Arabidopsis thaliana: one gene and its partners. The protein of the gene in region 2 purifies or fractionates together with the protein of the main gene of each other region. This does not show direct contact. Each region holds a gene or a part of one and is shown on either strand. Other genes may lie near its edges.

What was found.
Region 1: the proteins of CLPB3 (region 2) and AT1G17960 fractionate together in Arabidopsis thaliana (co-fractionation; one large-scale study listed by BioGRID). This does not show direct contact.
Region 3: the proteins of CLPB3 (region 2) and AT1G18130 fractionate together in Arabidopsis thaliana (co-fractionation; one large-scale study listed by BioGRID). This does not show direct contact.
Region 4: the proteins of CLPB3 (region 2) and AT5G26830 fractionate together in Arabidopsis thaliana (co-fractionation; one large-scale study listed by BioGRID). This does not show direct contact.

Annotation. Positions count from the first base shown.
Region 1 is NC_003070.9:6,180,288-6,185,669, reverse strand, and holds AT1G17960 (Threonyl-tRNA synthetase), read left to right. Parts: upstream 1-1,863; 5' UTR 1,864-1,932; coding exon 1,933-2,063; intron 2,064-2,174; coding exon 2,175-2,475; intron 2,476-2,624; coding exon 2,625-2,697; intron 2,698-2,753; coding exon 2,754-2,848; intron 2,849-3,091; coding exon 3,092-3,124; intron 3,125-3,214; coding exon 3,215-3,301; intron 3,302-3,396; coding exon 3,397-3,489; intron 3,490-3,570; coding exon 3,571-3,663; intron 3,664-3,755; coding exon 3,756-3,974; intron 3,975-4,072; coding exon 4,073-4,144; intron 4,145-4,372; coding exon 4,373-4,444; intron 4,445-4,547; coding exon 4,548-4,655; 3' UTR 4,656-4,805; downstream 4,806-5,382. Other genes in the region: AT1G17970 (RING/U-box superfamily protein), read right to left, coding at 66-638.
Region 2 is NC_003076.8:5,013,623-5,020,185, reverse strand, and holds CLPB3 (casein lytic proteinase B3), read left to right. Parts: upstream 1-1,838; 5' UTR 1,839-1,930; coding exon 1,931-2,158; intron 2,159-2,263; coding exon 2,264-2,482; intron 2,483-2,562; coding exon 2,563-2,800; intron 2,801-2,884; coding exon 2,885-3,080; intron 3,081-3,160; coding exon 3,161-3,215; intron 3,216-3,303; coding exon 3,304-3,454; intron 3,455-3,535; coding exon 3,536-3,844; intron 3,845-3,928; coding exon 3,929-5,118; intron 5,119-5,466; coding exon 5,467-5,787; 3' UTR 5,788-5,974; downstream 5,975-6,563. Other genes in the region: MUB2 (membrane-anchored ubiquitin-fold protein 2), read left to right, coding at 81-213, 878-1,042, 1,163-1,239; EDL1 (EID1-like 1), read right to left, coding at 6,055-6,161, 6,254-6,563. UniProt on the Arabidopsis thaliana protein: Molecular chaperone essential for chloroplast development and seedling viability. Mediates internal thylakoid membrane formation and confers thermotolerance to chloroplasts during heat stress.
Region 3 is NC_003070.9:6,233,810-6,239,446, forward strand, and holds AT1G18130 (Class II aaRS and biotin synthetases superfamily protein), read left to right. Parts: upstream 1-2,085; coding exon 2,086-2,133; intron 2,134-4,283; coding exon 4,284-4,505; intron 4,506-4,600; coding exon 4,601-4,672; intron 4,673-4,757; coding exon 4,758-4,829; intron 4,830-4,906; coding exon 4,907-4,990; downstream 4,991-5,637. Other genes in the region: LAC1 (laccase 1), read right to left, coding at 5,177-5,637.
Region 4 is NC_003076.8:9,435,489-9,442,426, forward strand, and holds AT5G26830 (Threonyl-tRNA synthetase), read left to right. Parts: upstream 1-1,698; 5' UTR 1,699-1,862; coding exon 1,863-2,089; intron 2,090-2,198; coding exon 2,199-2,436; intron 2,437-2,530; coding exon 2,531-2,590; intron 2,591-2,749; coding exon 2,750-2,839; intron 2,840-3,007; coding exon 3,008-3,082; intron 3,083-3,200; coding exon 3,201-3,329; intron 3,330-3,412; coding exon 3,413-3,502; intron 3,503-3,580; coding exon 3,581-3,669; intron 3,670-3,748; coding exon 3,749-3,845; intron 3,846-3,918; coding exon 3,919-4,005; intron 4,006-4,094; coding exon 4,095-4,179; intron 4,180-4,473; coding exon 4,474-4,568; intron 4,569-4,661; coding exon 4,662-4,694; intron 4,695-4,779; coding exon 4,780-4,866; intron 4,867-4,969; coding exon 4,970-5,062; intron 5,063-5,138; coding exon 5,139-5,231; intron 5,232-5,331; coding exon 5,332-5,553; intron 5,554-5,654; coding exon 5,655-5,726; intron 5,727-5,822; coding exon 5,823-5,894; intron 5,895-5,984; and 3 more. Other genes in the region: IREG3 (iron-regulated protein 3), read left to right, coding at 343-454, 552-698, 831-937, 1,028-1,141, 1,221-1,517; AT5G26840 (uncharacterized protein), read right to left, coding at 6,800-6,938.

The DNA of each region.
Region 1 (5,382 bases), on a different chromosome or scaffold from region 2:
TCCTCAAAGTCAAAGTCAATAACATAATAACACTAAATTCATCATCCAACTTTAGATCAATTTACCAGTGTGTGATTATAATTGTTGTTATCCACATCAATTTTGCGACGAGACGACGGAATATTCCTTCCCCGAGGAGGATCAACCGATCGACCAATTACAGCATCCGTGGAGAAGCCTAATCCAGGTCTGCACCAAACATCAATAACGTCTCTAGCTTCTTCGCTTAAAATCCTAATCGAACCATCTTCGTAGCTTCCTTTATTCTTCTTTTTCTTTTTCTTATGCTTATGCTTCTTCTTCTTCTTATCTTTTCTAATTCTGGCATCCAAATCCGCGGAGTAGCGAATGACGGAGGGAACAGAAACCTCTTGAGCTGCTGCTGCTGCTGCGGCATAGCAACCCATCCCTCGAAACGACGACGTTTGGTACGGTTTCTTCCTCGTGCTTTCGTTGGAGGAGGAAGTCGGGAGGGGAAAGAAGGAAGACATTGCGGAGTTACAGAAGCGATTAGGTTGTGAAATCGGAAGAACGACGTGGCTTAGCGGCGGATCATCGTCGGCGGCGTGGAGATGACGGATTGTTTGGTTTCTAGCTCGTCGGAGTCTGATGTGCTCGCCGATTGTTGTAGAAGACATTCTCAAAGAAAGAAAGTAAAGGAGATAATGGAAATGTGGGAGAGAGAGAGCGAGACACAGTGCGCGGGGAAGGATGAAAGAGAGTGATTTCAAGCTTGATGATGATGATGATACAGTTTTTGTATAATGATTATAGCTTTTCCTATATAATACTATTAAAGATTTTTTAGTTTTTGTTTTTACATGCAACCATTAGTATGAGATTCCAAACAAAATCAGCTCATGCATATCTTTTGTGAATACTACCAAATTAGAAATAATGATTTTATAAGAGATATTGTTTAGGTTAATTTGAGTATTTCTCTGGGTTTTTAACTTTTTTTGGGCAATTTAGTTTAATGATTTTGCTTATTTTTGGTTTTTCTATTCCAGAAAAGTAAATTTTAAAATTTTTAAAATGATGCTTGCTTGTAAAAATAGGAAAGGTGTCAGTCACTACATGACTCTTTTAAGTCGAAACAATCTTGTTAAATAAATAAAAAGAGAGAGAGTGATTAGATATTATTTTGGTAGAGATAAAGAAGAGACACAAAGTCCAGCTGAAACATCCTACGATAAGCTTAAACATCAAAAGACCACTTCTTTGGTTGGTTTTAATATTTGAACAATCCTCGTATACATAAAGTTGGCACTCTTGAGCTTTGAAGACATCCAGCAAAGCCTTGATGGTTGATGCTCATCGCCACGAAGCCTGAACCGTTTTCCTTTCCAATATTACATTATTGTCTACCAGACCCGGTTCAACCAAATCGAACCCGACTACATTTTTGTAACACGAAACCATCCGAGAACGTTGCAAAACTGATTCTAGCTTCATCATTAATAGGCTTTTAAGAGCCCAAAACTACAAATAATAAGCCCACTTCAAACTGATTTTATAGCTTCCACATTAATAGGCCTAATAATGGTCATTTGGATATTATTGAGAATGCAACAAATATAAATGTGAAACATTAAATCAAAGAAAGTCACGCCAAAATAGGTTATATACATATACTTTTAATTTGCATTTTATCAACAAAACTACAATTCAATTGAAAAGAAATTATAAATATTGTAGAAAATTATTTAAATACAAAAGGAAATTATGTAAAGTTAGGTGCATCTGCCACTTGTTGTTATTACCTTATTACAAAAAATGAAAGGAAAAGCTCTAAAGCTTGGCCCGCAAGTCACTTTAGTGTTGTAGCTATAAAAGGGAAGTTGACCTTGGGATAATCTACTCCTCTGCTCTCAACGTCATCTTCTATATTCTATAGTTTCTATTTGTCCTTCGTTCTCTGCTCATCCATCGATGGCGAATAATCATCATCCCAAGGATGAGGCTTATCTCTCATCCGTCATCCCCAAGCGTATCAGGCTCTTCGAGGAAATCCAAGCCGAGCAGCTTGAGCAGCTTCAATCTCGGCCACACGATCCAATCAAGTAAATACGTTTATGATTAATTGTTCATCATTTTCACTAGGGTGCATCAATTTGTTTGCTAAGCTAGGGTTTTGCAATTAGTTGATTTCTGGTTTTTGTTTCACTGCTTAGGATTACTCTTCTCCCCGACGGTATCGAGAAAGAAGGAAGGAGATGGGAGACCTCTCCAATGGACATCGCAGTGCAGATTTCTAAGGGTTTAGCAAAATCTGCTCTGGTTTCTTCGGTTAATCATGTCTTGTGGGACATGAATAGGCCCCTGGAAGGTGATTGTTCCTTAGAGATTTTCGGATTTGACAGCGACCAAGGCCGTAATACTTTCTGGCATTCTAGCGCCCACATTCTAGGCCAGGCTCTCGAGCAGGAGTATGGATGCAAGCTATGTATTGGACCCTGCGAACCCAGAGATGAAGTAAGAGCTTTGTTCTGTGTTTTTTCCCCTTAATTATGTTTCTTTGGCTAAAAGAGTAAAAAAAGGAGGAGTCAATATTGTTTGGTTCTTGGTATTTCATCTGTAATGTTGCAAAGACGGGCTATCTCTGATGGTAATTGTTATTGCAGGGCTTCTATTACGATTCACTTTATTATGGCGAGCTGGGATTAAACGACAATCATTTTCCAAACATCGAAGCAAGTGTTGCATATATATCTTTTGCTGACATCTTTTTTGTTTTGCGGTATGGAATGTAGAATTACCCATTAGAATGGCCGAATTTGGAGTGTTACACCGAAATGAGGACAGTGGAGCACTTGGTGGAATGACCCGTGTCCGACGGTTTGTACAGGTATGTTTGCATCTTTCTGGACTTTTCTTGTGGTAAAATGTTTAAAACTTAAAAATTGATTGCTTTATATAAAGACTAGCGACATTCAAAATGATATCATGATTAGTTAAGCAGCTTATTTGCCATGTTGAAGTGAAGAAGTTACCCCTTTACTTTACTTTACTTAGTAGTTTGTCAATTTGATTTTAACCCTTTTGTGCGCGTGTTGCTTAATTAAATAACATTGTGCATACTTGTTTTCAGGATGATGCACACATATTCTGTAGAGTGGATCAGGTTTGTGATATTTGTTTCTTATGCAGCAACGTTGGAGCTCCTTATCCTCCCAGTTTCTTATTTTATAGAAATATTCTTATCTATTTGCAGGTTGAGGAAGAAGTGAAGGGTGTGTTGGATTTCATTGACTATGTTTACAGAATATTTGGGTTTACCTATGAACTAACGCTTTCAACGGTAGGATATTTTCACATTTCTTCTCTGCCAAACCTAATATACTTTGCATGGTATGGTCACGTATCTCATTGTTTGCATGTTGGTTTCGACTTCAGAGGCCAAAGGATCACATTGGAGATTTGGAAACATGGGCTAAAGCTGAAAATGATCTTGAAAAAGCTCTAGATGATTTTGGAAAGCCATGGGTTGTATGTGTCACTACTTTCTGATGCTTCTACTCAAAACTTTATAATTCATAGAGAGATTCTAAAGTGTGATGTTTTCTGAAGATAAAGGAAGGAGACGGTGCATTTTATGGCCCAAAGATAGACATAACAGTGTCTGATGCCAGGAATAGGAAATTCCAGTGTGCTACTATACAGGTTAGGCTCCCAAACTCTTTTTAGTTTTTTCCTCTGTTTTTTGTTCTTGATCTCTTACAATAAGATTTTGATCCTTATTTGCTTCGTACCAGCTTGATTTTCAACTTCCGGCTTGCTTCAAACTGAAATACCTAAGTGAAAAAAACGAAATGGAGGCACCTGTGATGATACATAGTGCGGTGTTGGGATCTATTGAGCGTATGTTTGCCATATTGTTGGAACATTACAAAGGAATTTGGCCCTTCTGGCTTAGTCCCCGCCAGGCCATAGTTTGCTCTCTTTCAGAGGATTGTAGTTCCTATGCCAAACAGGTTTTCTTACATTCTTTATTTATGAACCCTCACACCTGCAATTCTTGCAGTGCCTAATCTCTAAGCTTTTTGTTTCCTTTGCACGTACATTCAAACAGGTACAAAAACAGATTAATGAAGTCGGGTACTATGTTGATATTGATGAAAGTGACAGAAGCCTCCGTAAAAAGGTAAATTCTTATGATTACAAGCTTTCCAAATGTTTAGGTCTTTGAGCATATTATACAAGTGAGATTATTTAAGGCCATAAATTTTTATCTCGTAAAGGCTAGTTGTCTAAATTTCATTATAAAATAAAGTCGTTTTTTCTTGGTAGATATGAATGTATATATAGAAATTGCAAAGAAAATGCATAGTTATATGTGTTCACGAGTGTGATGATTTTGTTGTGTTTGTAGGTGGCAGATGCTCGGGATGCACCATACAACTACATACTGGTCGTAGGTCAAAAAGAGGTTGCAACTGGACAGGTTGAGTGTCTCACTTTTTTCTCATGATTCATATCTCTTTGACCATCGAGCTTCTCAAACATTGATTGATCTTTTTGTTTTGTTGGGACTGTAACATTTTCAGGTGACAGTTCGGCTCAGAGAGGACCCTGAAGGCCGTAAAGACTTGCCAGAGATGAGCATCGAAAGTTTGCTTGATGAATTCAAGTTCAAGACAGTCAACTTCCTCTGAGATCCGATGTTTATGGTTTAAAATTTCATTTTTCTGTTGATGATGAATGTATTTCTTTTATAATGGTCTTTTTCATTGTACCAAGACACATTTTGGAATAAAATGTACTATTGAAGTATAATCAACCAATTATCAAAATAAAATCTCGACTTTTGGGACAGTGTTATTTTTGGATTAAGACGCAATGTTTTCTTTGAATTCAAGTTTAATTCAAAGCCAACGAAAGATGTTATGATCTCATAATTGATTTTTTAACACCACTAATGAAAATTTTCAGTTGAATAATCATTTTATTTTCACAAACTTGTCTGAGTGTTTTTAAAAGATGCTATAAGTAAAAACAAGTCTTAATCCTATCTGCATTTGCATCTATCGGCACTTTATTGACTCTGTATGCTCGCTCTCTAAAGTCTTATCACTATTTTGATCTTTTATCATATCTATATCTGATAAATTTCAACTATTTTGAACAATTAATCAACTAGTCACCACTGAAAAATATTCAACGATTCGCGTCATTATTTTCATATGAAGTGATTCTAGGAAATATATACACACATCCAATCAGAAATTAATACATTCTTGTTCTAGTGGGTGTCTTAATCTTATCCAAAATTTGATTAATTCAACATCTTTGTACAATGATCAACGTTTCGTTTCATTATCTTCCATAATAAAATATGTATATACAGTTATGCTTATCTTTTTGGGTTGTTCTTTCGTATTG
Region 2 (6,563 bases):
AATCTCGGTTGCTTCGGTTGAACTTCTTGATACACTGTCTCGTTTTGAGTTCTTGTTAGGTCATTCCTTTAGAGAGATATATGGCAGAGGTGAAGGATCAATTAGAGATTAAGTTCCGGCTTAACGATGGTTCTGATATCGGTCCTAAATTGTTTCCTGATGCTACTACCGTTGCTACATTGAAAGAAACCGTTGTTGCTCAGTGGCCAAGAGGTCAGTGTCTATGCTCTTACTCTGCTTTACATGTATTGATGATATTCATTTATGCAATGAGATAAAGCCGCGTTAAGCTTTATCGGTCTGGCGATTTCTCCATGACTAGAATGGTTTAGACTTTAGAATTGCATTGTAAAGAAACTTTCATATTTAGCCTTTTGTTAGGTTCAGAAACTCATTGCCCTCTTTATTGATCCTTGAGAAACTGGTTACAAAGATAAATCAATGACCAAACGTAAGAAGAGACTGAAACAGAATTAGAGCAAACGAGAGAGTAATTTCTGTACAACTCTTCTTTCTCCCCAATGCCCCCAAATTATCTAGACCAATCAGCTTCTTAAACCTTCAGCTCTCAACTAACCGATGAGGTCTATTACTGAGCTGGCAAAGCTACACTTCCCTGCATCACCCCTAGGCTAGTTACATTAGTCCTGCACTGCACTGGACTTAACAAGAACGCCTTCTCGCTTCTCCATGAGGACCTGCATTGGTTTTTCGCCTATATCTGTGATAATATCAAAACCTGATTGTGAGTCATTGGTGTTATGGTTTTGCTTGTTTGTATAATTTTGAGCAGCTAAGGAGAATGTGGCAAAGACACTGAAAGATATGAAATTGATTAACCCTTTATGGTTTTGCTTGTTTGTATGAATGTGAGCAGATAAGGAGAACGGGCCAAAGACAGTGAAAGATGTTAAACTGATAAGCGCGGGTAGAATATTGGAGAACAACAAAACGGTTGGAGATTGCAGGAGTCCCGTCGGCAATTTCTCAGGTGCTGTCACCACAATGCATGTTATAATTCAACATCAAGTTACTGAAAAAGGTAATCTTTAGATTCTTAAGCATTGTTCATAGTATATACTGTTTGAAAACCTCATCTGTTAAGGTTATGCATTTGTATGAGAATCTGAAGATCATTTGCTTTGCTAATGGTTTAAAACAGAAAAGAAGAAGAAGAAGCCTAAAGGTGATCTGAAACAGAACAAATGTGTCTGTTTATGTTTTGGAGCTCGTTGTTAACAATTGTGCAAGACAAGTAGAGAGAGTTAAAAAAGCTTGGGAGATTCACATTCTGTTCTTGAGCCTTCTTCAATACCTTTTGCTCTTGTTCCTTGTAATTCTTTTTTCTGACATGACATGACATGATTGGCTTTTTGATCGCTTGAGGTTTGGTTTCTATTGTATTTCGGATTCGCAACACCGTGGAAATTATTAGGTAACAAACAAATTTGCACGGAATAAAGTGAATCATCACGAAATATAACTTGACATAATTTCCGTGGTTAACAATGTTTGGTTTCTGTTAACAGTCGTAGTGGGCCAATCTCGTTATCAACGGCCCAAAATTCGGGAAACTATATATTAATTATTATTTTCTGCTATATTTTTGGACGGTTCATATTAATTCTACTTCGAAAAATCCTAAGTTTTCTGAGAGTGAACACGTGTCAGAAGAAGGTCTCAGTAGTAAGTACATCCCGATGGTTCACGAAGACTCCGGCGTCGTTTAGCAACTTCTTCTTCTTCTTTATTAGTTTTCTACTTCACCTTTTCTCTTGGTTCTCGCTAAAACTACACGAGAAAGCAAAAGCGTTTCTCTTTGCTGATTTCTTAAGTAAACATCTCGCCGTTTTGGTGGATTTGTGCTAAACTACCTGTTGTATTTGATCTTCCTTTTTCAATTGCTTGCTGTTCTTAAATTTCCGAGCTAATGGCGACGGCTACGACGACTGCTACGGCGGCGTTTAGTGGTGTAGTCAGTGTAGGAACGGAGACTCGAAGGATTTATTCGTTTTCTCATCTTCAACCTTCTGCGGCTTTTCCGGCGAAGCCTAGTTCCTTCAAATCTCTCAAATTAAAGCAGAGCGCGAGGCTCACACGGCGGCTTGATCATCGGCCGTTCGTTGTCCGATGTGAAGCTTCTTCTTCTAATGGAAGGGTAAAGTCTGAAACTTTAGGATTTTTAAGTAATCACAAATCTGGAATTGACACTGGAAGGATTTTACTGTACTGGATTGCTAATTTGGGTTTGATGTTTGTATAGCTTACACAGCAAGAATTCACAGAAATGGCGTGGCAATCGATAGTTTCGTCACCAGATGTTGCAAAAGAGAATAAGCAACAGATTGTGGAGACAGAGCATCTAATGAAAGCTCTTTTGGAGCAGAAGAATGGTTTAGCTCGTAGGATTTTCTCTAAGATCGGTGTGGATAACACAAAGGTTCTAGAAGCAACAGAGAAGTTCATTCAACGCCAACCAAAGGTAATGTAATGTCTTTAAGGGTTTGATATTTGTTGTTTCTTTGTTTGTGAGGCTAATGAAAATTAAGTTTGTGATTTCAGGTGTATGGAGATGCTGCTGGTTCGATGTTGGGGCGTGATTTGGAAGCTCTGTTCCAGAGAGCAAGACAGTTTAAGAAAGATTTAAAGGACTCTTATGTGTCAGTGGAGCATTTGGTTCTTGCTTTTGCTGATGATAAGCGGTTTGGGAAACAGTTGTTTAAGGATTTTCAGATATCAGAGAGGAGCTTGAAATCTGCAATTGAATCCATTAGAGGGAAACAATCAGTCATTGACCAAGGTTAGTAACCACATTTGAGGTTGATAGTTTATAATTTGATTGCATAATTTAGTGGATAAGAGAGTTAATGATCATGTTTGACAGATCCGGAAGGCAAGTATGAGGCGTTGGAGAAGTATGGAAAAGACTTGACAGCAATGGCAAGAGAGGGAAAACTAGATCCTGTGATAGGTAGAGATGACGAGATCCGAAGATGCATTCAGATTCTCTCAAGGAGAACAAAGAACAACCCTGTGTTGATCGGTGAACCAGGTGTTGGTAAAACTGCAATTTCAGAAGGGTAAGTTATCATCAAAAGATTCAGAAGTTGCACATATGTGTATGTAATGCTAAGATATTGCATCTCCACTTTTGAATCAGACTTGCTCAGAGGATTGTGCAAGGAGATGTACCTCAAGCATTGATGAACAGAAAGGTATTCAAATACTTATCAAACTGTTTCTTTTTCTGTTTTTAACAATTTGGATAACCACTGATTTAACCGTTCTTTGGTTTCTTTTCAGTTGATATCTCTTGATATGGGTGCTCTCATTGCTGGAGCAAAGTATCGGGGAGAATTCGAAGACAGACTAAAAGCTGTGCTTAAGGAAGTCACAGACTCAGAAGGCCAAATCATTTTGTTCATCGATGAGATCCATACAGTTGTTGGTGCAGGTATGCAAATTTCCTTTGATTGTTTGGAAACGGTTTATACATTTTCTTGCAATGATTTGTAATTGATTCTTTTGCTTTCAGGTGCGACTAATGGGGCCATGGATGCTGGTAATCTGCTGAAACCGATGCTGGGCCGAGGCGAGTTACGTTGTATCGGTGCAACCACGCTTGATGAATATAGGAAATACATAGAGAAAGATCCAGCCTTGGAGCGTAGGTTTCAACAGGTTTATGTTGATCAACCTACGGTTGAAGACACGATTTCTATTCTCCGTGGTTTGCGGGAAAGGTATGAACTACATCATGGAGTTCGCATCTCAGATAGTGCTCTAGTGGAAGCTGCTATCCTCTCAGACCGTTACATCAGTGGCCGGTTTCTACCCGATAAAGGTTTATACTTTGCTATTCCCATTTTATTATATTATCTTCATTAATAGACAGTGTTACTAACTGATTTGGTAATTGGTGTTCTAGCAATTGACTTGGTCGATGAAGCGGCAGCCAAATTGAAAATGGAAATCACTTCGAAACCTACAGCTCTTGACGAGCTTGACCGTTCGGTAATAAAGCTTGAAATGGAGAGGCTTTCACTTACCAATGATACAGACAAAGCTTCTAGAGAGAGATTGAATCGAATTGAAACTGAGTTAGTGCTATTAAAGGAGAAACAAGCTGAGTTAACTGAACAGTGGGAGCACGAGAGGTCTGTTATGTCCCGTCTTCAGTCGATTAAAGAGGAGATTGATCGAGTAAACCTCGAGATCCAGCAGGCGGAACGTGAATACGATCTCAACCGTGCAGCTGAGCTCAAATACGGAAGCTTAAACTCATTGCAGCGACAGCTTAATGAAGCAGAGAAAGAGCTGAACGAGTACTTAAGCTCTGGGAAATCTATGTTCAGAGAAGAGGTTTTGGGTAGCGATATCGCCGAGATTGTGAGTAAATGGACTGGAATCCCGGTATCAAAACTTCAACAGTCTGAACGAGATAAGCTTCTACATTTGGAAGAAGAATTGCATAAAAGAGTAGTCGGTCAAAACCCAGCAGTGACTGCGGTAGCTGAAGCAATCCAACGATCAAGAGCTGGTCTTTCGGATCCAGGCCGTCCTATAGCTAGTTTCATGTTTATGGGACCAACTGGTGTTGGTAAAACAGAGCTAGCCAAAGCACTTGCTTCTTATATGTTCAACACTGAAGAAGCTTTAGTGAGAATTGACATGAGTGAATACATGGAGAAGCATGCGGTGTCTAGGCTCATTGGAGCTCCACCTGGATATGTTGGTTACGAAGAAGGAGGACAGTTAACAGAAACGGTTAGAAGAAGGCCTTATTCGGTCATTCTATTTGATGAGATTGAGAAAGCTCATGGAGATGTCTTCAATGTGTTTCTCCAAATCTTGGACGATGGGCGAGTCACAGATTCTCAAGGACGTACAGTGAGTTTCACCAATACCGTCATTATTATGACCTCAAATGTTGGTTCGCAGTTTATTCTGAACAACACAGATGATGATGCTAATGAGCTCTCTTATGAAACGATTAAAGAGAGAGTGATGAATGCTGCAAGGTCAATCTTTCGTCCTGAATTCATGAATAGGGTTGATGAGTATATAGTTTTCAAACCTCTTGACCGCGAGCAGATCAACCGCATTGTCCGGTTACAGGTATGTTTCTTTCATTTGAAAATTGCAAAATTGATTAAGCTGATGACATTAAAAGTCTGATATCGAAAAGAGTTAGCTTCTGGAGGCAATTGGATAGTTAGATTGGATTTTGCTTTAAAATGCTCGTTAGTGAATAGTTTAACATCTAATACAATCTACTTTTCCATTGAACGTATAACATACTTTTGATTCTAATAGCATTCGAAAGATTACTTCTTGGCCATCTCTTCACAAAATTAAGGAAGATAAGACTGTTTTAAAAAAGGATTTGATCAGAGTTGAAGTTTTTTTCCATGGCAATACAAAGAACTGTTATTCAAAACCCTGATTGAATCTTTCTTTCTACAGCTGGCACGTGTGCAGAAGCGAATTGCAGACAGGAAAATGAAGATAAACATCACGGATGCAGCAGTCGATCTTCTTGGAAGCCTAGGGTATGATCCAAACTATGGAGCTAGACCTGTTAAGCGTGTGATACAGCAAAACATTGAGAATGAGCTTGCTAAGGGTATCTTGAGAGGAGATTTCAAGGAGGAAGATGGCATTTTGATCGATACCGAGGTCACAGCGTTCTCCAATGGCCAGTTACCTCAGCAAAAGCTCACATTCAAGAAGATTGAGTCAGAAACAGCAGATGCTGAACAAGAAGAAGCAGCTTTCTCAAAATAGAGTAGTTGAAAATGCAACCTTTTGGAGCCCAAGAAGATTCAGACTTTTCAGTACAGAACTTCTAGTGAGTTACTTGTCACAAAAGACTGATAATATTTATCTCAATGTGAGAGTTTATATAAATCATAAGCTTATGAGTCATTGTACTGATGTCTCAAAGGTCCAGAGGTTATGAAAATTGTTGATCATAATTTGACTGTATATGAATGTTGAAGAATCTCTGCAGATACAATAAATTTAGCAGTAGTACACAAATTTACAGATGTTTCACTGATTAGGATTGGTCAGTCGTTTTTGCGGCGGAGGTCCATTTTCACTTCCACCCAACAAAGAATTTCTCCTTTTCAATACGTTCTCTCTAGGAAAGCCATTGTCTGCAAAAAAAAACAACAGAAAAAACAAGTTAGAACTTTGCTGTTGTCAGACAAAAAAAGCTGATTTGTAATTTACAGGAAAGATAAAAGACCTTGTTTCTTCTCTGTGTGATTGTTATCTTCGCTTGGAATTGCATCCTCTGAATCAGACAAAGGCGCGAGAGTGCAGATACCCAGCAAATGTCCATTAAGGCAAACAAAATACTCAATGCAGTCTTCATAAGCTTCCAAACGAATGCAGGCACTCTGAGGTATTATCTTAGCTTGTAGCATGCTCCATAGCTTAGCTTTACAATACGGGCAAACCTCGGATGGATGAAAAGGAACCGCCTTGTTAATGATCACTTTCCGAACTTTCGATGTTGGGAATGACTTGAAAATCCCACGGAACAAACCCACGTC
Region 3 (5,637 bases), on a different chromosome or scaffold from region 2:
TAATGAGCCTATGCGTGAGTATTGGCAACCAATCGGCTCCACCATCACAACTGATGGGTAAAGACGTACGACTATACTAATTATAATGTTTTCTCTTCTTGTTCTCTTGTCTTTTATTTATAAATAACTAGATAAGACCCGCCTAAATAGGCGGGTGTAAGATGTAAATGTAATTTTTATCGATAATATTTAAATTTTGAATAGTAAAATAATAGTCGATACATTGTTCTTATAATTTTGAATAGTAAAATAGTAGTCTTATGCATTTTATTTTGTTATACCCATTCAGTCTTATTGATGATATTTGAAGTCTAAATAGTAACCTACACACTTTTTTATATTATAATTTAGTATTTAGAAGAAAAAATAAATTTTTATCTTATACATTCAATTTTGTAATACAATTTAACTATCTATTTCATAAAAAACTCGATTTTAATTCTACACACTTCATCTTACTTGATAATGATTTCATGTCAAAATAATATATATATATATATATATATGAGATCAAATCTATATCTTAGTTAATATTAAAATTATTAACAATTAACAAAACATAATTCATAATAATAAAACATTTGCTAATACCATATATATTAAAAATTTGACCAATAACATATATAATTTTTTTTTTTTGTTAATTTTCCTTTTGGTTAAGAAAAATAAAATGTAATATTTTTTAGATATAGACATATGAATTAGTATATGTTAATAATGATTTATTTTTTAGTTTTCTATTTCTTTAAGAAGAAAAAAGTTAATTGATTTCTTTTTAAGTATTTCTATTTCTTTAAGAAGAAAAAAGTTAATTATTTTCTTACACATGTCAACATCTGATTGATAGATTTGACACGTGGCAAAATCGTATGAGTTAGTAACTTTGAAAACCATACTTTATATAATAAGATATTAAAAATTATTAACAATTAACAAAACATAATTCATAATAATAAAACATTTGTTAATACCATATATATTAAAAATTTGACCAATAACATATATAATTTTTTTTTTTGTTAATTTTCCTTTTGGTTAAGAAAAATAAAATGTAAGATTTTTTAGATATAGAAATATGAATTAGTATATGTTAATAATGATTTATTTTTTAGTTTTCTATTTCTTTAAGAAGAAAAAAGTTAATTGATTTCTTTTTTAGTATTTCTATTTCTTTAAGAAGAAAAAAGTTAATTATTTTCTTACACATGTCAACATCTGATCGATAGACTTGACATGTGGCATAATCTTATGAGTTAGTAACTTTGAAAACCATACTTCATATAATAAGATTTGTCGTTTACAATAATATAAGATGCATGCTTGTTGACAAAAGAAAGCAAGTTCGAAATATGTTAGAATAGAGCTATTTTAAAGGTTTCTTCTGGATCGTTTGAAATATACAAGATCGTTCGAAGGCACAATGCTCATCTTTTCTGTAGAGATATATCGTTTGCAATATACAAGATTGTTAACCTAATTAAGCTCATATTTGATAAGTTGAAGTGTTCGACAATCTTCTTTATTGTTTCCATTCTTGTCTTTTCTTCCTTTATTTTATTATTATTTTTTCTATAGTGTCTAATCTTTTTTCTTTCTTTACAACAATTCTGTTCCATTTTATTTTAGGGGTTTAATTAGAAAATTTGGTATTTTAATAATTATTTTTTAGTTGAAATATTTTAATAATGAATTAAATGAGTACTATTTTATAAAATGTTGAAAAAATACCTTAGATATATTTCCCAATATGTATAGATATAATTATATCTTTATGTTCTTTTTGGGGCAAAAAATCTACATTTTCTATACTAATCGTTTATTGCTTTAATTATAATAAACTATAAATGGTTGTTATGAAATAGTAATAACTTGTTAGTTTCATAATAATTTAAAGTTAATATATTAAAATATCAAAAATTCCTATTTGTTGGGAAAAAAGACACCCCCATGGCCCATAGTACGCTTCAAAATTAAAAACAAGGTCTCCCTCCCTGAAACTCCAAAGTCCGAAACTAAAACCTATCGACGTCCGTCTCACAACTTTTTACAAATTTCTCATCGTCTTCGTTCTCTGCTGCTCCACCAATGTCGAAGAATCATCCCGATGAGGATGAAACAAACCTATCCTCTGCCGTGAACCTCAATTTATAGGATGTATCTTTGAAAAAACATTCAGAATTTTTTGGGCCCTTTTCAATAGCATTTTTTTTGACAAAGCGCAATGTTAAATACGAGGATTGGGGCTAACCTTCACCAGTTTGACGAGCTTGTGTGGATTACGTAAGCGTACCTCGCGGTTTATGTCGAAGAATAGTTCCTTAGTCACATACATCCCTTATTTGGCGTTTGCGAGTTTCTTGCAATAGTAAATTACCGTCTCAACGGCAGAGCCGGTCTGTCATGCAAAAATGCCTTATGAAAATAAACAAATTGTGTCTTTTATTTGTTTGCATAATCACAAATAATAATAATATATAAAAGTTATACTAAAACTTTATAGAACATTTTTTATAACATTTTATAAGCGTTTTGTAAGTAAAAAAGAGGGAAAAAAACAAAATTATATTTTTAAATATAGCTCTATTTAGATTTTTGCCTACAAAACTATTCATCAAATTCACGTAATCGAGTTTTTCAAACATTGTTGTCTTAATGGATAATAAAGTCAATTCATTTCTTTGATTAATCAAAACAATTTTTTTTGTTATGTAAACAAAGTTCAACCACTTTACATTAGAAAGTTGAAAAATTCTTTCTAATGCCCTTTTCATAATGCCCCTTTTCAACTCTACCCTTTTGTTTTATCCATTTTCATTTATACCCTCTTTAAATTTTTAATGACCATTTTACCCCTATTTAAAAATTATTTTAGGTTAACAAAATAAAATATTAATATTTTTTCGTCTAAAATATTCTAAAATAAATTTCCCGCCAAAATTTTCCCGCAAAACTTTTTCGAAAAAAAAATTCCCGCCAAATTTTTTTTTCAAAAATTTCTTTCCCGCATTTTTTTTTTTGGCGGGAAATAGATTTACAAGGGATTTTAAAAGGGTTTTAAAAGATTTACAAGGGATTTTAAAAGGAGTTTTAAAAGATTTACAAGAGATTTTAAAAGATTTACAAGGGATTTTAAAAGGTTTTTAACAGATTTACAAGGGATTTTAAAAGGTTTTTAACAGATTTACAAGGGATTTTAAAAGGGTTTTAAAATATTTAAAAGGAATTTTAAAGGGCTTTAAAAGATTAACAAAGGTTTTTTTAAAATTTTTAAAGGGTTTAAAGTGTTTTAAAAGATTTATAAGGGATTTTAAAAAATTTACAAAGGTTTTTTAAAGGGTTTAAAAGTGTTTTAAAAGATTTATAAGGAATTTTAAAAGATTTACAAGATATTTTTAAAGGGTTTAAATGAGTTTTAAAAGATGTACAAGGGTTTTTAAAAGATTTTCAAAGAATTTACAAGAAGATCCTTTAAAATCCATTGTAAATCTTTTAAAACCTTTTTTAAATCCCTTGTAAATCTTTTAAAACCCTTTTAAAATATCTTGTAAATCTTTTAAAACCCTTTTAAAATCCCTTGTAAATTTATTTCTAGCCAAAAAAAATTTACAAGGATTTTTAAAAGCATTTTTTCGGCTGAGAAAATATTTGTTACGAAAAAAAATTTGGTGGGAATTTTTTTTTTAGCGGGAAAAAAGTTTGGCGGAAATATTTTTTTGGCGGAAAAAAAAATTTTTGGCGCCAAAAAATCGGCGGGAAAAATAATTTTGGCGCCAAAAATCGGCGGGAAAAATAAATTTTGGCGCCAAAAAATTGGCGGAAAAAATTCAGTTTCCAATTACATGTTCCTATTAGATGAGGGTAATATAATCATTTTGTTCAAGGGAAGGGATATTTTTAAAAATGAACAACATAATAGGGTATTGTTACAAAATGGTAGTAAATAAATGGTAGTTTTACAAATCTCCCAATTTTTTATTTTTAATCAAAGTTTTAGAATTTAACGTTTTATTTTTCTTAAATAAACTAAACTAAATTCATTAAGAAAACATTTTATTAATTTAAAGATGTTAAAGAAAGATAGTGAATGAAAAGCTTAACAAAAGTAAATATATAGAAAATGCCTATATTTGTTTTTATTTAAAACATAAAAGAAAGTGCCTATATTCCAGTGTGCTACTATACAGGTTTGGCTCCCAAACTCTTTTTTTTTTTTTTTTTTCTATTCCCTGCATTTCTCTTGGCAGTTTATTTAGTGTGTCGTTTCTGCTGTTGCCTAATATCAGGTTGATTTTCACCTTCGTGATCGCTTCAAACTAGAATATTCAGCTGAGAATGAAACTATGATAGAGAGATCTGTGCTGATACATAGAGCGGTGTTGAGCTCTGTTGAGCGTCTTTTTGCCATATTGTTGGAACAGTACAAAGGAAAATTCCCCTTCTGGCTTAGTCCCCGCCAGGCCATAGTTTGCTCTGTTTCAGAGGATTATCGTTCCTACGCAGACAAGGTTATACATTCATGACTGTACTCTTAACGAGTTTACTTGCAGAGTCTTATTATATCTCTCTTCCTAATTTCCTTTGTTTGCGTATATTCAAACAGGTGAGAGATCAAATTCACGAAGCTGGCTACTATGTTGATGTTGACACAACGGATAGAAACGTCAGTGACAAGGTAACTGTTACAAGGTCCCTGAGCACAAACCATTGAGGTTTATGTTCCCGTATACATTTTGAATGATGATTGTGGTTGTGAGTAGGTGCAAGAAGCTCAGGTTGCACACTACAACTACATACTAGTCGTGGGTGATGAAGAGGCTAGAACGGGACAGGTTAGAATCCAGTTTTGCTCATTCCATTAAATGTCTGTGCATCAAGCCTCTCTCACAAACATGGTTTTTGTTGTCAGGTGACTGTTTGGCTTAGAGACGAAATGATGAGCATCGAGACTCTGTCGGATGAATTCAAATTGAAGACGGCCAACTTTCTTTGAGACCCTTTTATTTGTGTCTAGTGATCATAAGAACGTGGATATTTGGAAAATATGTTTCTATTAAGAATTCACAAACCATTTTGACAATTAAAACCAAAAAAGACAATCTATATTTATATTTAAACACTCTTAATTAGCGAAACCAAAACCCTAACAAAACCAGGTAATAATAATAGAAGACATTTTTTAACACTGAGGAAGATCATGAGGAGGAGGAAGCAGAGTTTGTGAAGGAAGAGGTCCATCTTTGACGATAAACCCCATTGCTAAACCCCACGAAGTATGTTGTTCTAGATGACAGTGAATAAACCAAACTCCTGGATTATCCGCATTTATCCTAATCGCCGCCCATCCTCCCGTCGGCACTGCAAAAGTATTCCTCTCCGGCGGATCCACCAAGTTGTACCTTTTCGGATCCTTCTCCGGGTCAAAATTCCCAAATCCTCTTCCCACTACGAAGAAATTGTGTCCGTGTACATGTAAAGGATGATTCTCGATGTTTAAGAAACTCGTTCCCTGAAACACGATCTCTAATCTCGATCCGAATTCGACTTCGAAAAGCTTCGTACCGAATTCTGTGTTCATGTTTTCCGATACCGGATCTACTCCCGTGAAATCGAATCTGTTCGGTGGTTTCTCTGGGAAAT
Region 4 (6,938 bases), 4.4 Mb from region 2:
ATTCTTCTTTCGTCCAAGCTAAATAAGGGAAACACAAAGCTGCTGTGTTGTACGAGGCTGAACTATGTGTAATAGAATCATTCCTGTTTCCTATGTTTCAAGTTTCGAATTCTTTTTTCTTCAATTAAAAAGGCAGTCTTTCTCGTTTAGGTTTTGGATAATTGGAGCTTAGCCTAGATGGAGTATTATTAGTTCTTTTAACTAGATAAATAAGCTGTCATCAACATTGGAGTGATACTGTTCTGCTTCAGATCCTAGAAGCAATTCCACTTGCGCTTTACCAATTTATATGGGACTTCTTACCATCTTGCACTTCTAATAGAAGAAATCTGTTTTCTTCAGACAGCTCTTATATGGCTGACCAACAAGTTCTCCTCTGGAGTTCTGGACCGTCCTAAATGCTCCTTGAACAGCTGTTCTGCTGAAGGATCTCGTACTAATACCGACAGTATTTGTAAGGAAACCTTTTACTTTATACTACTTGGATACGCATAATTTATGATTTGAGCATGTAGTAGACATCACAAAATACCATTTGCTTTGTTCATCAGTTGATATTGGCATGGAAACTATCAAGCTCGGATGGAAAGAATATATTCAACAGCCAGTTCTTCCTGCTAGCCTCGCATATGTCCTTCTCTACTTTAACATCGTCCTCACCCCAGGCAGCTTGATGACTGCATTTCTAACACAACGATGTATGCTACTTCGACTCGGTCCCTTACTTTTCTTTAGTGCTTGGATGAAAATCGTAATTAATCTTGCGAGAGTCTTTGTGCTATTACCTATTACTCTTTCAAATTAGTCACCAATCTGTCTTTTTTCAACAGGTGTGAATCCATCAGTTATTGGTGGTTTCAGTGGATTATGCGCTGTTATGGGCGTCGCCGCAACCTTCTTATCAGCAAACTTGGTCAAACGAGTTGGCATTTTAAAGGTGAAATGTTTTCCCGCCATTTGTTATCTTGAGCTTGTATTGCGTTCAAGCTGATTAATGTTATTGCGTTTGCGTTTTAAAACGATGCAGGCGGGTGCAGTAGGATTGTTTTTCCAAGCTTCACTCCTTGCCGTTGCTGTTGCTGTGTATTGTAGCTCTTCTCTATCCCATAAAAGCCCACTCTTCTTCTTCTTGTCCATGATCGTAAGTTGTTTCTTCACTCTCTCTCTCGACCAGTAATATGCGGTTTTGGTGTTGACTAAAAGGTAACAAACAAATGCAGGTATTATCAAGGCTAGGTCACATGTCTTACGGCGTTGTGGGAGCTCAAATACTTCAAACCGGCATTCCATCATCCAAGGCTAATCTCATCGGCGCAACGGAGATCTCAGTGGCAAGTCTAGCTGAATCGCTTATGCTCGGAGTAGCCATAGCGGCGAATGACGCTTCCCATTTCGGGTTTCTCGCGGTTCTGTCTCTTTTATCAGTTGTTGCGGCCTCATTGATATTCTGCAGATTGCTGAGAAATCCCACTGATGAACAAAGACGACTCTTCTCCTTCGACCCTCTCTCAAATTGATTTGGAGCTTTTACATTGAAATATTTGTATAGTAGTTTCACTTTCAGTGTATAAATTCTTTATATAAAGTAAAGAAAAAAATTGACTTTGGTGTGAAAAATTCAAGAAGTATTCCACTTCCACCATTACTACTCTAAACAAAAAGTACTAAACTGGCTAAACCTTAGTTATTTTTCTAAACCGAGAATTAACGAGATAATTTAACAATCGATTTCAAAAACCAGCAAACCGAAATCACCCAATTTTTGGTCGGTTTGGTTCGATTTTGTTTTCTTTCACCCCTGACGAAGAAAAAAAAAACCCTAGTCACACTCAGATAACATAAACCTTTGACAACAAATTTTGATGCTCCTTCGTCTTACGGCTCGCTCTATTCGTCGTTTCACAACTTCTTCTTCGTCTCTACCATTGCTCTCATCGTCTTCGTTTTGTACTGTTCCAACAATGGCAGCTAATCATCCTAAGGATGAAGCGTATCTCTCCGCCGTCATCCCCAAACGTATCAAGCTTTTCGAGCAGATCCAAGCGAATCAACTCGAGAATCTTAAGTCTCTTCCACACGATCCGATCAAGTAAATACGATGCCGATGTTCTTATGTATCAGTGTGATTTGTAGTTTATAAGGTTTTACTTTGTTTCCTTGAAGATTGACTTCGATTTTCTGGTGTTGTGTGTGTTTAGGGTTACGTTACCAGATGGAAATGTGAAAGAAGGAAAGAAGTGGGAGACAACTCCGATGGATATCGCTGCTCAGATTTCTAAGGGTTTGGCTAATTCTGCGTTGATTTCGGCTGTTGATGATGTTCTTTGGGATATGAATAGGCCATTGGAAGGTGATTGTAAGCTTGAGCTTTTCAAATTTGATAGCGATAAAGGTCGTGATACTCTTTGGCATTCTAGTGCGCACATTCTTGGTCAGGTAAAGGAGTTTTGATCTTATCTGATTTGTGAAAGTTTTGGTTGTGGTGAACGAACGAGTTGTTTACTGTGGTTGTGGGTTGATCTTGGTGCAGGCTCTCGAGCAGGAGTATGGGTGTCAGCTGTGCATTGGACCATGCACAACGAGAGGAGAGGTAAGAGGAGCTTGTTTGTGCTAATTGTTACTTGTTTGTATATCATGTTCCATCATTTGTGAAGTTTGGTTTCTCTGTTTGGGTGTTTCTTGGTATTTTAATGAAGTGTTGTGTGTAAATAAGCTATCGCTGATGTTAGTAATGGATTTGTTATTGCAGGGTTTCTACTATGATGGATTTTATGGTGAATTGGGCCTGAGTGACAACCACTTTCCTAGCATCGAAGCAGGTGCTGCAAAAGCTGCTAAGGTGTTGTTTCTTCTTTTTGATTCGATTACTTTTAAGGTTTCTTACAATGTATGTTATAAAATATTTGCTTATTTTGTCAAACCTTTTTAGTGAAAAATGATTGATATATGTCTCCCAACTCTTAGCCATAGTTTCTATTGGTTTGATTCGCTTCTATTTGCATCTCAGGAAGCACAACCATTTGAAAGGATTGAAGTGACGAAGGATCAGGCACTCGAGATGTTTTCTGAGAATAATTTTAAGGTGGGTTAAGCTGTGTATAAATATCATTGGATTGTGTTATGCTCACCTAACCTTACATTCATTTCTGTCCTCTATGAAGTTGTTGTTTGGACTCATTATTCTGCTGTTAATCATGTAGGTTGAACTCATCAATGGTTTGCCTGCAGACATGACCATTACTGTCTACAGATGTGGCCCTTTGGTGGATTTGTGTCGTGGACCGCACATACCAAATACTTCCTTTGTGAAAGCGTTCAAGTGTTTGAGGGTGATTTGCTACTGTATCTCTAGGAGCTACATCTCTACAGATTCTAGTTTGTTTTCTTATGCTGACCAATATATTTTTCTCAGGCCTCATCAGCTTACTGGAAGGGTGACAAAGACCGTGAGAGCTTGCAGAGAGTTTATGGGATATCTTATCCTGATCAGAAGCAGCTGAAGGTACTCAAAATATCTTAATTATTTATGGCAGCTACGCTGTGTCATAAGTATGCATAATATCTATCATTTGGTCGACAGAAATATCTCCAATTTCTAGAAGAAGCCAAAAAGTATGACCACAGACTATTGGGCCAAAAGCAGGAACTCTTCTTTAGTCATCAACTCAGGTATTTCATTGCTAATATACTGTGGTTTCCTCTTTGTGTTTCACTTTACTAATATCTATTCTCCATCCTTGAGCTTCAGCCCTGGGAGTTATTTCTTCCTTCCACTCGGCACTCGTGTATATAACAGGTTGATGGACTTCATTAAGAACCAATACTGGCACAGGGGTTACACAGAGGTTTTTCTTTGCTCTAATCTCATATTTAATATATTTGATGCGTGGGGATCGCTAAATAACCTTGCACTTGCAGGTTATTACACCAAATATGTACAACATGGAGTTGTGGCAAACATCCGGACATGCTGACAATTACAAGGATAATATGTTTACGTTTAATGTGAGTCTCCTTGACTATGTTATTTTAGCAAGCAGCTCTCTAAGTTATATTCTACGTATGAATGACTTATCAGAATGTTCCTTATGTAGATTGAGAAGCAAGAGTTCGGGCTCAAACCTATGAATTGTCCTGGTCACTGCTTGATATTCCAGCATAGGGTTCGCTCATATAGAGGTGTGACTCTGTTCCTGTTGTGCTGTTCGATATCATCAAAAACAGATCTATGAATGATATTAGTTGTAGAAATTAAAGTTCACTCCATAACAGACTATCAAAACTCTTTTGTGAAATACTAGGTGCTGATTTTTTCAATGACAGGAGACTTGCTCCAAAGTGTAACTTGTGATTTGTAACCTATCACCGTGGACAATATGACTACTGTTTCTCCTTTATGAATCTTACTAAAGAAATTGTCTATCATGTATCTTGACTGACACCATTGTTTTGCTTATATAATCTGATCTGTAGAGTTACCTATGAGACTGGCCGACTTTGGAGTGTTACACCGCAATGAGGCAAGTGGAGCACTTAGTGGATTGACTCGTGTCCGACGGTTCCAGCAGGTAGATTTTGTATCCTAGTATTACTTAATTATCATTTTACCCTTTCCATGATGCATATTTGTTACTTAATATAATGTTCGCATACTTTTTCAGGATGATGCACACATATTCTGTACAACGGAACAGGTTTGTGATATATGTTTCTTTTCTGGCAATGTCGGAGCTCCCTGTCTCCCAGTTTTTGGTTATAAGTAATGTTATATATTTGCAGGTTAAGGGAGAAGTGCAGGGTGTGTTGGAGTTCATTGACTACGTGTACAAAGTTTTCGGGTTTACCTATGAGCTAAAACTTTCAACGGTACCATATTTGATGATTTCTTCACCAGTGCATCTACCAGATCTTATAGTCTTGACATGACATGTTTCTTTGCCCATTATTTGCATGTTAATTTAAATTTCAGAGGCCAGAGAAGTACCTTGGAGATTTGGAAACATGGGATAAAGCTGAAGCGGATCTCAAAGAAGCTATAGAAGCTTTTGGAAAGCCATTAGTGGTATTGTCACTTGTTGTTGAATACTCGAGTTTATTCACAAAGTCTGCATTCATTCTAATGTAAGCTGTTTTGGCAGTTGAACGAAGGAGATGGTGCATTTTATGGTCCAAAGATAGACATCACAGTTTCTGATGCAATGAATAGGAAATTCCAGTGTGCTACTTTACAGGTTATACTCCCAAATTCTTTTTAGTTTTTCTTGTCTATGCATTTCTCTTGCTGTTATCAGTGCAGGAGTTGATTTTATGTTTCTTGTGGCCTCAAATCAGCTTGATTTTCAACTTCCGATTCGCTTCAACTTGGAATACGCAGCTGAGGATGAAGCGAAAAAGAGTAGACCTGTAATGATACATAGAGCCGTGTTGGGATCTGTGGAACGTATGTTTGCCATATTGTTGGAGCATTACAAAGGAAAATGGCCCTTCTGGATTAGTCCGCGACAGGCCATAGTTTGTCCTATATCAGAGAAATCTCAGCAATATGCAGAAAAGGTTACTTTTGTGGCTGTTGCTGTACTCTTTTACTGAGCACATGTGGTTCTTATCGACTTATTTGCAGTGTCTAATCTCTGGTTTTTCTTTTGACACAACAGGTTCAAAAGCAAATTAAAGATGCTGGGTTCTATGTTGATGCTGACTTAACAGACAGAAAGATAGATAAAAAGGTAAACGATTTCGGTTCATGTTCCAAGTTTTGTTCTGTGGTTGGCTGGTGATTCCTAAGATTAACTTGAGTGATGATGATTGTGGTGTGTTTGTAGGTGCGAGAAGCTCAGCTTGCTCAGTACAACTACATTCTGGTCGTGGGTGAAACAGAAGCTGCTACAGGACAGGTTAGACTGCCGATCCTTATCTTGAGTCTCTCGAGCTTAATTTAATTTTGATTTTAAGACCATTTGTATGTTGCACTTTCACATTTTCAGGTGAGTGTTCGTGTGAGAGACAATGCAGCCCACTCCGTGAAGAGCATTGAGGATTTGCTGGAAGAATTCAAGGCCAAGACTGCCGAATTTGTATGAGATCCGACTCATGAAATTCAAGTTCTGATATGATGTTTTTTTTTTTTTTTTCAAATTAGGGTCGACCCAGATTTAAGTGTTCATCTGTTTCATTAAACCATATTAGGCCTCAACTATATTAAAGTTTCGATTACATTCTGCGAAAACTCTATGTTTGGTCCCCTTTTAGTATCATTTTATGGAAGAAAAAAATCTGGGCCATGATTGTTAGAATGCTGTCCGAGGAGGCCATAATTGAGCACCCTGAGTATTATATTTTGTGTGGAACTTAACTTGTTCACACGCATAGCCTTGAATCCTGACTACGAAGCTCTACGCGATGGAATCAATTTCTTTGTGAAAACTAATATGGCAATTTAGGGGGAAATTCAGGAAAGCCAAAGAAGGTCTTAGTAATGCAGAAGAATTGCTTTGTGATTCTGTTGCCAAAAGTTTGCAACATTTGTCCTTAGAGACAGTGGCAACATCCTTCAGTTATTATATATAGACAATGTGTGAGCTTCGGCATCAATGAGAAACTGTTTCAGGTATCATCTTATCTGTAGAAAAATCAATTTCTATTTTCTTTCAAGAGATCATAGGAGAAAAGATATAAGAAATTTGGATTTATAACCTACAATTTTTTTTATAAATTAACAAACTAACCTATAAAAAAAACCTTCGAATACAACAGATATATAATATATATTATTACAATTTTACCTTTACCACTATCACCACTAACCACCACCACAACCACCGCTGCCGGAACTATTACCACTAACCACCACCACAACTACCGCTGCTGGAACTATCACCACCATCGGATCCACTGCCACCGCTATCAGAGCAGCCGCACTGTTTTGGGTGCTACCGCCA